Arabidopsis thaliana: one gene and its partners. The protein of the gene in region 3 interacts with the protein of the main gene of each other region in a pairwise test. Each region holds a gene or a part of one and is shown on either strand. Other genes may lie near its edges.

Region 1 (4,450 bases), on a different chromosome or scaffold from region 3:
TATTGCGCCATTTAAGGTGGTTGGGGATGACTTGATTCGTCATTTTAGTCACAGCAAACATTCTTTAAGACTCCACAAGAACAATATCATTTATGATGATAGTACACGATGTGAAGCATGTGGCCATCCAGTCGAATTTGGTCGAATATACAATTGTGAGGAATGCTGTTTCATTCTTCATGAAAAGTGTGCTAATCTCCCTATGAAGAAAAGGCTTGTCTTTTCTACCTTACCATTCCTATTACTGGGACCGGGTAATGATGTTTGCAAGGTTTTAGATTGCAAGTTATGTGGAATGTTTTTTACTGGTTTCGAGTACAAGTCCCAAGAAAGGAGGCAAAGCGATATCGATGTACATTGTGGTTCCCTTACGGAGCCGTTCGTCCATGATGGCCATTTACATCCCTTATATTTTGATCAAAAGCAAAAGGAGCTTCCTTGCAATGCTTGTCAAAAAACCATAAGAGATTATATGCTTTGTTGTGCTGATTGTGACTTCAATTTGTGTTTATGGTGCGCTAGTCTGCCAAAAAAGATAAGGCATAGCAACGATGAGCACATTCTCACGCTATGTTGTGGTGAAGAAGCAAATGGAAAATATTGGTGTGATATCTGTGAGGCAGAGTTGGATCCAAGTAAATGGTTCTATACATGCTTTGGTTGTGGAGGCACATTGCATGTGGAATGCGTACTAGGAGATTTCTCACGTCTCATGCCAGGATGCACCATTGACTACCGGGTATATACCGTGGAGGTGGTTTTCAATAATCACAACACGCGACCAATGTGCAGCCGGTGTCACTCTCGATGCAAGGTTTCTGTAATCCTTAAGTTTCGTGAGGGTAACATTGTATATTTTTTTTGTTCACGTTCATGTTTTCTGATGCATTTCTCATATTATCTGTGAGGCATTGCTACGATTTTTCATGTGAGAGGAAAAGGCTTTGATGTTTTATTCTAAATTGATGAGTGTATCTTTTACGGTGGTTTCTCAATTCTTCCCCTATTTAATCTTATGAAAATTATTGGTGTGATACATGCGAGAGAGAGTTAGATCCAATTAAATCGTTCTATACCAGTAAATCGATCGATACAGTTACTTTGGAGACTTATGTTATTGTTCCCGTTCATGTTTTGTGAAGTACTTTGCAATAAACCGGTGGATCTTTCTTGGTGGTTTCACACTTGAAAAAATATTCGCGGTGAACCTTTATTTACCGCTTTTATTCCAGTTAATTAGAATTTGTCACCTAATAAAAAAAATTAAATTTATTTAATTATAAAATCTTTTTTGACAGACGGATAAGACCATGTTTTACCTGATTTATGGGCGGGCGGATAAAACCATCACCGCCTGCCATTGAACATCTTATCTGTCATGACTATTCTCCATTCACTAGTCTTTTTGAAGAAGCGAGAGGAGGAGCCCCTTTTTGAACAACTACTTTTGACAATCAATAGAAATCCAAAAGCTAAATCGATTCATATCAAACAATATTGCTAAAATATAATATCGAACGCAACAATAACAACTACAGCATGTTGTGCAATGTAATATTTCTCGGAAATAGATAGTCAATGCTATCAAATCATGATTTATAAGTTTAGAATATATATCTAAAAAGTAAAAACATATTTCGGATCAAATTCGAATATTTTGATTTTGACTTTAAAATAAAAATATTACAATCCTGATCTGGAAACTCTGTATCATATTTGTTGGAAGTTGGATGGGATCAAAATTTCTCTAACCTCCACGTTCAGCTTCCATTTCTCCTAAAGAAAAAGAGAAAAGAAAGAATCTCATTCACATACATCATACATGGATACAGGAGCAGTAAAGCTACCCATTCACGAGCACCCTATATTTCCTTCGGCTCGGATCGTTTTTAGTACATGTAAAGGCTGCGGTGTAGAAGATTTCGTCTACGGCGGGTACGTCTGCAATGATTCTGACTGTAAAGCTCGGTTTCATAAGGAGTGCGCTGAGGCCCCATCTGAGATCAGCCACTCTTTCCACCAACAACATCCTCTCTTTCTCACCAATGGCCTGGGAGATCTTCCATGTGATTTGTGTGGACAAAAGCGATTGGAAGCCGCTGGTTATAGTTGTCCCACATGTGAGTTCAAGCTGGATTTGACTTGTGGGATAAACCCATCACCGCCTGCTATTGAACATCCTATCTGTCATGACCATCCACTTGTCTTTTTGAAGAAACGAGAGGAGAAGGCCCCTTGTGAAGTTTGCAAGGATTCTATTGGTGGACCTTCCTATTCTTGTCTTGGATGCGATCTGTACTTCCACGTGGATTGCGTCCATCTCTCAAAAGAGGTAAATCATCCTTGCCACCCTAGTCATCCTCTCAAGCTCATCGCATCTGAATCACTTACGGATAATGCTGAGAAGATTTGTCTTTTATGTGAACAACAACCAGAAAATATGCTTTATTATTGTTCTGTTTGCAACTTCACATCATGCCTTGGTTGTACTAAACGCCCACCACCTCTTTTTATCGAGCATACCAAGACCCACAAGCATCAACTTACTCTCTTTCTAAACGGAATTTCATATCAAGGTTCCGCGCTGACATATAACAGCAGAGCTTATATGTGCCTTCCTTGTGGTTTCGTTGTCAATGGGAATGGTATCAACCTACCTCAAGTCATAAACATCAACCGTCACGACCATCGTATCTCTTACACTCATCAGCTTGGCCCTGGATATTTGAACTGCGGAGTTTGCCGCGAAATTGTTGACAGGGATTGTGGGGCATATGCTTGTGTCGTTTGCAGTAACTATGCAGTTCACTGGGAATGCGCAGTACATGATAATGTATGGGATGGTGTGGAATTAGAAGGGACATCTGAGATCACAGAAGATATTGCACCATTCAAGGTAATGGGTGATAACTTGATAAGTCATTTTAGTCATGAACAACATACTCTAAGGCTGCACAAAGAAGGCATCATTCATGACGCGTACGCACTATGTGAAGCATGTACATATCCGATCGGATTTGATCCGATCTACAGTTGTGAGGAATGTCATTTCATTCTCCATGAAAAGTGTGCTAATCTTCCTATGAAGAAGAGACTCGTGTTTGCAACCACACCATTCAAATTAGTGGGAGCAAGTAGTCGTGTTCGTGATGTGATAGACTGTGGGTACTGTGGTGAATGTTCTACTGGTTTTAAGTACGCATCTCAAAGAGGGTGGGAGATAGATGTACATTGTGGTTCTCTTTCTGAGCCGTTCGTTCATAATGGCCATTTGCATCCACTATATTTTGATTCTAAGGAAAATCACTCTTGCAATGCATGCCATAAGGTAACGGTTCATATGCTTTGTTGCAATGCTTGTGACTTTGATTTGTGTTTAAGTTGCGCTAGTTTGCCATTAAAGATAAGGCATAGAAACGATGAGCACCCTCTCACTCTATCTTGTGGTGAAACGGCGAATGGAAAGTATTGGTGCGATATATGCGAGACAGAGTTAGATCCAAGTAAATGGTTCTATACAAGCTTTGATTGTGGAGTCACATTGCATGTGGAATGCGTACTAGGAGATTTCTCACGTCTCATGCCAGGACGCATGGTTGATACTGTTGGGGGAAAGAAATTTTATGTGGTTCTTAACAATCACAACACTCGACCATTATGCAGCATGTGTCGCTCTCGATGCAAGGTCTCCGTCATCTTAAAAGCTTGTGATGAAGACAATGTATACATATGTTCTCGTTCATGTTTTTCTGATATGGTTTCAGCTAGATCATGTTGATTGAGTGTTTAATTTGTTTAATTTTGTGTGGAAAGGATGAAACTTCGATACCCTTTATATTTTACAAGATGAGTGAATTATTCATGGTTGCATTCGCTAGCTGCCCTACAAGTCCAAATTCAATATCTGATTTTAATTTGAACTTCTTTACTTTGCTCGTCTTGCAACATAACTGAGTTGTGATTTAAATTCTAATAGATACTGTTAAGGGTTTCCATGTCTCTATATTTTATCTATATAAAGATATGCCTAAGAGTTTATAATTCCATCACTCATAAGATTAATGCAAGAAAATATCTTAGAGACTACAAGGTTCAAAGATATTTGTTTATTCTTAGTTATGTTTTCTAAGATTTCTCTAAATTTTGCCCGAATTCACAACACAGCTTTAATTATCATTATACTCTTCCAGTTTTATCTGTAAGAAACTAGAATGCAATCAGACTCATTGTTATGCGATAGCATGATCACTTATAGTTATGAAAATCATTGTTATACGGTAACATATTGAAAATATTGAATTGCTATACACCGAATGGCCAAGTATATATAACCAAGGTAAAAATATGTCAAAATAATGGCTTCGCCCGGGTTCGAACCGGAGACCTTCAGTGTGTTAGACTGACGTGATAACCAACTACACCACGAAACCTACATGCTTCTTTCTAACCT
Region 2 (3,943 bases), on a different chromosome or scaffold from region 3:
TGTTCTGGGTTTTAGTTCGATGTTTTCATAGAACAGTTTTAATTCAAGTTTCGCCTTTCGCTATCAATAGGAATAGTTCCTTCCTCTTTGTCTTTTTTCTGTTTATAGAACTATTTCTTGCTTCTGATTTCTTCAAATGACATTCTCTCTTTTGGGTACTATTCAAATTTTCATTTTGTTTTAACCCTTTTTCATTTTTGGGTGATTTTTTTTGTTTCCTAGAATGTTTATAGCTTTTTAAGTAGTTGGTGAATCCCCAAATTAATTTCATTGTTTGTTAAACCTCTCTTATGTGTTTGTGTTTATGTGTTAACAGAGGAGGAGCATTTGGTTCATCAAAGGCGTTTCATTGTCTTCTCCTTCTCTCATGTCTATTGCTTTCATCAGTCAATACATTGCATAACTTAGCTGAATATGGTTACAACACTGGTTCTGCTGCTATGGAGTTTCAGGGCTTTATTAATGGTGAAGATTCTGGGAGTGTAGCAATCCAGAAATCTGACCAGAATGTTTGTCCTAGTTCACAGCTGTTTTGTTTCCTTTCAGCTTTAGGATCAGAGAATCGGTCTGATCCATTTGTGTTGGCTTGTCCCAAAGAATCACGGAGTAGCTCTGCTCTGATCAGAAAAAATCTATCTGGTGTTGTGTGGCTATCTCTGAAGCCTGTCCACATCATAGAGTTTCAGCCATTTACTGGATTCTTTCACATTGGAGACACTTGTTACGAGCCTATGTCCAAAGAGCTCTATACTAAGAAGACCACAAGGGAGTTAAGTATTACGGTTTCAGGAAAACAATGTGGAGGAAATGGTTTTATGGTGAACCATCCATGTGAAGGATTTTCATTAGAACCAGGGGATTCCATAAAGTTTCTCTTTTTCTACCAGAGTGAACTCTCTTGGGCATCTGGAGTTGCTGTTTTTGCAGTACCTATGAAGGCGACCGCACCTGTTTTGATGCTTAGTCTCTACAAAAAACCGGTCTTTTGGGTGCGGACGAAGAAATTCGCAATTGCGGTTCTTATTGCTGCAGCTCTACTCATTCTGATATTTTGCTTCAATGATCACTTCATCGAGGAGAACAACAAGAGAAACAATAGCAACCACATGGAGTCGAGAGAAGTTGAGAAACCATCTACGATCACAATATCCCCTGAAATGGATTCTCTGCTAAGATCCATAAGCAAAGAAAGCCTGCAAGTGTTCGATGAGGTTCCCAAGAACAGCAGCAGCGTTAAGCCAGTTGCTTCTTCACACGAAGAAGAAGCATCAGAAGCTGTGAATCTCACTGTAAAGACAGCGAAAGACAAGAAGAGGCGCCGTAACAAGAAAAAGAAGAAAGGAGGAATCAACGGATTAACACCAGAGTGCACAGATGTTTCAAGCAGTTACAGCGGAAACTCAACTCCTAGGTCTCCAATATCACCAGAACCACCTACTACTCAAGCCGCAACGAAGCTAGTAAAGCCTCCTACTAAACCGGTCCTATCGCACTCAGCAACGTTTCCGGTTTCAGGGGTTAAGTCAATGATCATACAACGAAGCTCACTGGCTCCAAATGTGAGAGCACCTGGAGCGAAATCAAGAACCGAAGTGAAAGAAGAGAAAGCGAAAGAGTATAGGTACTATGATATCTGGGGAGATCACTTGACAGGGCTTAATTTGATGGATAAGTTAAAGGAAGTGAGAGAAGGTAAAAGCTCAGGTTTTGATGGAGAGGAGTGTGAGAGTTTCTTTGTTAAGGGTCCTCAGAACTTGTTAGCAGACTCTCACACCAGGTTTGTAAGTTTCTGTAACCAATGGGGCTAACAAAGAAATAAAGAATGAAAAACAAAAATATTTTATATAATAATGCAAGGCCCAATGGGCTTTCTGAGCAGCCACCAAGCCATTCCATTAGTGAGATATAAACACAAGCAACGTCAAACCTAAATAATGAATGTCACGTAGACAAGTTTCGACGTCTTTATAAACTTGAAGGGCTTGGTTAAGATTCCGTCCTATGGCCTCTCCGCTACTCCCTGGTCCACCGGATCAGAGAAGAAATCTCGATTGGTGCTGGTCGAAGCTTCCTTCAGATCTCATGCAATTTGTATTTGACCGCCTTGGTTTTGCCGATTTCCAACGTGCAAAATCCGTTTGTTCATCTTGGCTTTCAGTTTCGAGAAATTCTCAGCCAAACAATCAAATCCCTTGGATGATTCGATTCCCCAAGGACAACAATCACTGTCTCTTGTTCAATCCTGAAGAGGAAGACAAGATGTACAAAACTCCAAATCTCGGCAACGATTTCGCAAAGAGCTCTTGTATCGCCAGTTATGGAAGCTGGCTTTTGATGCAACCTGAATCAGAATACATGGAAGAAGACTTAGACCATCAATGTAATAATCTCTATATTCTTGATCTTCTAACCCGCGAGAGAATCAATCTACCGATTCTCCAACCAGAGTTTGGACTCACATGTCCGATATTATGGACCGATGAGAAAAGCAAAGATCACCTAGTTATTGGAATGGCTCATGAAGAATTAGCCATTTCTTTCAAGAAAGGAGATTCCTCGTGGAAACAAATCCCAACCTTGTCAGGTATCGAAGAGTGTTTTAGCATGGTTTTTAAGGATCACAAACTTTACTGTCTGAGCAATTATAAACTCAAGGTCTTCGATTTCTCTGGAGATATTCCGGTCAAAGTTTTCAAAACTAGCGTAAGTAAGTTGTTAAATAATCCACTATGTATTTCCATGAGAATGAGACTTCCTGGAATTCCAATGAAGGACCAGTTGAATCACTTCAAGGATGATATGGTAGTCACTCTAGCCGGACATGTCTTAATTGTTAAGTGCCATCGTCCGAGTCTGTCCAAGATATGGAGCTTTGAAATCTACAAGATGGAAGGGAACAACAACAAGTGGGAGAAAACTGTTTCTCTGGGAGACGAGACAATTCTTTTGGATTTGGGTATCACAGTGCTCGCCAAGGACATGCAAGGGATCAAGGCCAATTCCATCTACTTCTCCAATCCTACTCCTTATTTTAAAGATCAATATGACGAAAACGAAATCTTCATATTCGACCTCGATTCCAACACCGTTGAACAACCGCACCGATCTGTTTCCTCTTCCTTTCCCCGCTCTAGAGCCCGATGGTTCTTGCCATGTTTCAAACGAGAATCATACTTCCTTCAGTAATTTGTCTTTTTTTTAATGTATCTACGTATTCTTCATATCAAGTATTGCAACATTTAGTAATAAAGAATAAAGCCAACAAACGATACTTGCCATATAGAGTAATAATTAAGCCAAGAACACCATCCTTGATTACAAGGTAATAACTTTTGAGGACGGTCTCGGACCCTCAAGATGAGAGTGAAGGCAAAAAATCACACCCGTAAAAAAAAAAAAAAAAAAAAAAAAAAAAAAAAAAAGAGAAACGGATGATCAAGAGAATCATGAGCCTAGAAAACTTTCTTACGAATCACAGACAAGGGTTGAGAACCGATGATCAGGACGCTTTCCTATGGCCTTAGAACCTGGAAATTGTGTTGAAGTAAGTTTACTTGCAAAAGAGACAAGTACCAAGTTTGTATGATGATGAAAGATATTACTCACGAGGTACGGTGTGTTATCGATAATTTGGTCTGTGATTGTCTCCTTCTCTTCTGTTGTTTACCATGTACAAGTCCCTTGCCCCATGGTTGTAGCTACTATTGAAGTTGGAATGGTAGGTCTGATGGTTCATGTATGGCCCTTGAGTGACCTCACTCTGCCTGTATGTGTCTCCTTCTCTTCTGTGGCTTATCATCATATGCGAGAAGTGTTCCAAGTCCCTCACTCCCAGGTTGTAGCCACTGTTCGAGCTGACATGGGGGTTCTGGTATGGTCTCCTCTGATGAGTAACCGGCACAGTGTGTGTATTGACATGTGGGTTGAATGATGCTTGTCCCTG
Region 3 (6,070 bases):
AATAACTTTCCTCTCTTACATTTGTAAACTCAATTGTCGAAATATAACTTCCTTGGGAAAAAGCTAACACAACTGATAGTTTTGCTTTCAATTGTTTCCAAAAAAAAAAAAGAGAGAGAAAATCTTTTAGCTTCGAAATCACCGGATACTAAAATTGTAAAATCATCAAAACTTTTAATGACAGAGTTACATTGGCATGCCTTGAATTGTCGTTTTGGTTTTTTTTTAATCAAAACTGTGTTAGATAGTCTTCTCCTTCGCCACGGAACACACACGTTGTAGTGAAACAATATGAGCAATCATCACACTATGAGTTACACTATGCCATCACATTTCTCAATTTGTTGTGGATTGTATAGAAGACCTAATTAAGCTGGGGAATTAGTTTCGAGGGAAGTCTTTGTCTTCCATTAGCGACGACGGGTACATTTACTTGTTAACCAAGATTCGAAGGTTAATTCCATATATATTGGTATATAGTAGTAACAGAGTAGAGACAGACCACATTCAAACACACAAATCTGTTTAAAATAAAAAGTGCCGAAGCATATACTGTTTGTAACAAACATTTTATCCAATCTGAAAAGAATTAAACAAACAAAACTGAGTAATGAAACTATAAACACTTCATTAACAGGAATTTGTAAGCGTAAGAAAAGTCCCTGATTCTTCACTTAAACTAGCCTTCTCTTTACTTATTATATCTTCTAGAGCTAGTCAGAACATTCAACATCAATATATCTAAGACTTGGAGCAAAGATCAGCCATGTAAACTCCCTAGGCATTTACAATCTTATACATACACATCAGAAAGACTCAAGAAATTATTGGATTGCGCAACAGAGAACTTGTGTTGCTTTGAATGCACGTCATATCAATCTTTATCTCAGATGATTCTAGTTGAAGACTACTAATCTCTAAATCTCGTGTACAGCTCATAAGCTTAAGATGAGAAATTAAAAATTGAACCAAACCTGAATCATAAACCAATTCTTATGGTTAAAATTTTTAATCTTTCCAAAACTAGCAACTCCTCCACTGTGTTGAGGTCCAATGAAACATCAGAACCTCACAGTCTCAATACTTTCAGATCCAAACATGCCTTTTCAGGGATTGAGTACTCCTACAACTGTCTTTTCTTTCTCATGCCAATAGCTATCGAATTATTAGTATCAACTAGTTTTTGCAAGATCATAATTAGAAATCACAAGACTCAGAATCGTTGATCCACATCCCAATCAATTTGCATACATTCATCACTAACTAGTCATCAAAGTATGTTTCATGTGGAAGGCAAGGACTATAAAAAGAACTCACATAAAGCAATAATACAAAGTGTGATACTGATTACACAGAATGCAAAACACACAACAGAGAGATAAGCAGGTAGAGAATTCAGCAGAAAGCAACAAAGAGATAGAAAGTTTCCATTTAGAACCCAAATGACATTATCAACTTCCAACTTGCTCCCTTAGTAAGCAGCCTGGGTCTCTGGATATATTTTTTTTTGGAAATATACTCAAAAGTAACAGCTGACACAATCCTTGAAAATCATTTAAGAGAAATCAATTGGCATGAAGGTAAGAAGCGTTTTTTCGTAGCTTCGTCTGCCCATTTCACACCTTCAAACCAACGTGAATCTTTGTTACGTATGATGCATCCATTTTCACCTTGCTTGCCACTTGTGGAATCGAGTGGAAGCTTTCTCAGATTTGGACATTCCCTTATATTGATTTCTTCTAGACATAGAAAGGGTAGAGGTCTCCAATAGATCTTCTTCAGCTTCGGTAGATCATGTAAAGTAAGAAAATTCAGCTCTGGAAAAGGAAGAATCCCCGATTCTTCACCTTCACAAGCTTTCTCTTCGTTTATTATATCTTCTAGGTCTTTTGCATGCCAAACAGAAAGAGATCTAATCTTTGGAGCAAAGATCAGAAACGTCAATTCCCTCAAGCCTTCACAATTGAATATATTCACATCGACGAGGCTCAAGAAGTTGCATATCCCTCCCATCTTAATCTCAGAGATACTGCAGCTCTTAATTTGAAATTCGCGAAGCTTGTCCGTAGATACTGAAAGTGATTCTAGATGTCTATTTAGTGAGGATACAGAAGATCCATAGATCTCTAGCAATCGTGAATGACTCAGCAACCTATGGGAGCTCAAAAACTGCTTCGCTCTTGGATCGATAGTTGTGGTTAAAATTTCTAAATGTTCCAAAGTTTCCAGCTCCTTCACTGTGTTGAGATCCCATGGTAATCTAGAACGAAATAATTTCAGAACTTTCAAGTTATGCAGACTTGATATCCCAGTAATGCTCTCAAGCTTCCTTGTATACTCCAAATTCAAGTGAATTATTTTCTTCAACTCTTGTATACCCTTAGGCAAATGACTTATCTCAGTATATAACAAGTTGAGATATTTCAAGGAAACTAGATTTGATATTTCTTCCGGCAATTCAAAGAGACTTTTATTATGCGATAGATCCAAAACAGCTAGCTTTGGCATGCAATTGAAGAATTCACTCGAGATCGTTTTTAATTGACTCCGAATACTTCCATATTCTCGCTTTCCCAGGAGCAAAGTTGTGAGTTCCATACATTCATAACTACCAACGAGATGATGAATCTTGTTCTCCATCAATGACATCCTTCTCACAACATTCCAATTCTTAATCTTTGGAATTTCACGTACGCCAACACCTGCACGCACAATGAAGGCCTCCTTTTGTATTCCCAGTTCAGAAGCGATCCATAAGGCCATTTCACGAACAACGTCATGCATACACACAGCACGTCGTCCATCCCCATCATCCCACTCCATCAACAATGATGCGCGAACAAGACAACCTATAATCTCATAACCCTTGTCCTCAGCCTTTTCTATACCTTCACTTCCATCTATAATTTCCTCGCATATCCAATGCTCTATCAAATCTTCTTTCAGAATTTTCGCATCTTCTGGATATAAAGCACAATACAACAAACTCGATTTGACTTGCTCCCCCTTAAGGTTATCGTAGCTATACTTCAAAAGCGGAAGAACCTTATCCTCCATGCCTATAAACTCTGCAGCGTATGAATTCAAAACATGTATAGCGTGACGCCATTCTTGTATCGTCCTTTTGCATGACATGGTCTCGCCTATGACGTTGAGCGCCAATGGTAGGCCACAACATTTTTTCGCAACTATTCTTGCAAGTTGGGGGATCCCCGGATCGCTTCCAAGTGTTGTTTGTCCAACCTTCTTTTGGAACAAATCAAATGCCACATTCTCTTCCAAGCATTGGACTTCCATTGGATGTTCGACCCCCATGCGTGCACATACCTCTTGGGACCGAGTCGTAAATGCCAATTTACGTCCTTTTTTGGTTCTTGGATCCGGAACTCCGATCTCAGCTAAATCCACCTTTTCCCATATGTCATCTAAAAACAACACAAAACTCTTTTCCCTCAAGATATTGTATAAACAAATCCCCTTTTGACTTTTATCTTTCTGTGTCCACTCATCTCCACCAAGACCAAGCTTTTGAGCGATTTCATCTTGAACCTTCTCCACATGAAACTCTTGAGACACGACAACCCAAATGCCAATATCAAATCCACACTTATCCTTATTGAACATATTGTAGAGCTGAGTGAGAAGTGTTGTCTTCCCTACACCGCCCATACCGTACATACCCATAATACCAACTCCATCTTCCATGAGATGTTTCCCTGCCTTATCGAGCATTGTGTCTTGACCAACGATTGTCGGTTGAAGAGGTCGTTCCTCAAACGCAGATGTTGAAGCTTGCTCGGTTATCACTCCAAAAACTTCACCTTTGAGTTTCTCAACCTCCCTCAACCTCAAGAAAACACTTTTCCCATAACGATAGCTCCTCGTTAAACTCTTAGAGCAAAACCGGCAAAGACACAGCCTTTGAATTTCAACATTTCTATCTCTAAGAAGAGTAATGATTATGTCTTCGACAGTCGCAACACTATCAAGCCATACCTGGAATTCGGAAAGCCTTTGTAGACCTCTAGCCTCCTCTCTTTTGAGCCTTCTTTCCAAATCATCCCGCTTAGCCTTGAGCTCTTTCATGGTTTTCTCCAAAGCTGCGAGATTCTTCTCGAGATTGTGAGTATAACTTACTTTCATGTCTAGCCATTGAGAGACTTTATTTACACACGGATCAAAGGGTATCGAGAAAGAAATACCCATTTTACAGAAATTGAGAGATCTGAAATTTGAAATTTAGTAATCTGAGCAAACGTACTAGAGACGATGCAAATAATAATTGAAGATAAGACTTACGTTTTAGTCCACTCGAAATAAGATCAAATTCTCTCGTTCGAGTGAGTCCAAAATATGAGATACTTTGCATGGTTGAGAAGCATAACGACCTTCTCAATTTGGTAAATCGTGGCGGCTATTGACCTCTGCTGGGCCACACTATTTACTAAGTCTCCATTGGCTTAGTGGCCGAATGACCTGACGTTAAATTAATTTTCCTCTTACATTTGTAAAAAACTTAAAGATCAAAAGTCGGAATAGAATTTCATTGGAAAAAAAGCAAAGTAAAACCACTGATAGCTTTGTTTTCAATTGTTTCGAAAGTAAAAGAGAAAAATCTTTTAGCTTCGAAAACGTCGGATACTGAAATTGCAAAATCATCAAAACTTTTAGTTACTTTGGTGGTGAAAGCCTTATTAAGAAAAGAACTACAGTACAGTATCTCTTATCTCTCAAACAGTCAAATCAATGGATTATCATTAGTAGGCTGCATTGGATTGTGTTGTACGTTATACTTGTTCGGCAAGTCTTGTATACGTTTACCTTTGTGTATACGTTGTAAAACCATCTATCAAAAACACAGAACATTCAACATTCTTTATAATCGAGTCAAGTTTCAAATGGTATCATTCATCAGAGCAGTTCTTCTGAGACCTAAAATACGAGTCTATTGTCGTCTTGATCTCGAACATTGAAATTTTTTCTTAAATTTTGTTTTGTAATCTTCGCTATGAGAGTCATAGTATTTGCCAGTGCCAGCGACGATGATATAACACCACCGACAGCGAGAAGCAGACCATCGTAGTTTCTGAAGATGTAATAGACCGTGGGATACATACATTGTAGACGCCAGAGCTACATTGCCTGGTGCGCCTAATGTTTTACAATATGTCTTTTACATTGAATGGCAGTATTGGCATTTACAAATTCGGTAAATTTACTTTCATGTATAAAATGTTTTGTTTATGAGTACAAAGAGAAATCTTGATAAGCTTCAGAAACTAAGTGATGATCATCCCATTCGTCTCTATACGTCTCAGGATGGGCTTCCTTCCTAACACCATTCGCCAAACACATCTCTTTCCTCCATTCCTCTGTTTCTGAGCATCCGCATTGTGAAGCCAACCAATTATCATACTCAAACTGCAAACAACAAAAAATGTCATTGATGTGTTTCTGTTTAGCTTTGGTTTATTTTATTTTATTTTTATGTGCGGAAACTTGGGATTTTAAACCTGAGTATTGCCCATACGATGAGTATATCGCTTTGGAATCCCTTGGACTTCAAGTGTGGAGTAAAAGGTTTTGATTTCTATCATCATATCTTCCTTGGAAGGAAGCGGGATCCGACCCGATAAAACACCCGCGATCCACTTGCTTTGCAGCTCAAACATAGGGAACGGTAACACCTGAAATCCGATTTGTTATGACTTAAAATGTTGAGGGGAAACGTGAAAAAGAGCAATTTATAGGTATGTAACCTGCCATGGTATACCGATGAAGGAAAGCCAAGGTGCAAATGCTGGAGGGAAGACGTCTTTGTACAATGGCCCAACACGGTTATCATCTACAGTGACAATTCCATTGGTATCAAGAAACGGAAAATGATACTTATACCTACGAAAAGTAAAGCGCTTTGTCAAATAACCACACCATGCATGATATATGAGAAACTAAACAGAAACTAAACTAAAGAAAGAATGTATACCCAGTGCAATGCATAATAATATCAACCGAAATCGTCTTCCCGTTCTGATAAACAACAGAGCCATCCTCATGAACACTCTCAATC

Evidence for each region. The genes of interacting proteins can lie anywhere in the genome.
Region 1: the proteins of AT1G63360 (region 3) and AT5G59940 interact in a protein complementation assay, tested with the Arabidopsis thaliana proteins (one large-scale study listed by BioGRID).
Region 2: the proteins of AT1G63360 (region 3) and AT5G66830 interact in a protein complementation assay, tested with the Arabidopsis thaliana proteins (one large-scale study listed by BioGRID).

Annotation. Positions count from the first base shown.
Region 1 is NC_003076.8:24,135,590-24,140,039, forward strand, and holds AT5G59940 (Cysteine/Histidine-rich C1 domain family protein), read left to right. Parts: upstream 1-1,635; 5' UTR 1,636-1,822; coding exon 1,823-3,778; 3' UTR 3,779-3,894; downstream 3,895-4,450. Other genes in the region: AT5G59930 (Cysteine/Histidine-rich C1 domain family protein), read left to right, coding at 1-907.
Region 2 is NC_003076.8:26,689,303-26,693,245, forward strand, and holds AT5G66830 (F-box protein (DUF295)), read left to right. Parts: upstream 1-1,950; 5' UTR 1,951-2,001; coding exon 2,002-3,186; 3' UTR 3,187-3,387; downstream 3,388-3,943. Other genes in the region: AT5G66820 (uncharacterized protein), read left to right, coding at 317-1,808; AT5G66840 (SAP domain-containing protein), read right to left, coding at 3,620-3,943.
Region 3 is NC_003070.9:23,497,964-23,504,033, forward strand, and holds AT1G63360 (Disease resistance protein (CC-NBS-LRR class) family), read right to left. Parts: upstream 4,359-6,070; 5' UTR 4,207-4,358; coding exon 1,552-4,206; 3' UTR 521-1,551; downstream 1-520. Other genes in the region: AT1G63370 (Flavin-binding monooxygenase family protein), read right to left, coding at 5,242-5,421, 5,514-5,687, 5,760-5,895, 5,987-6,069.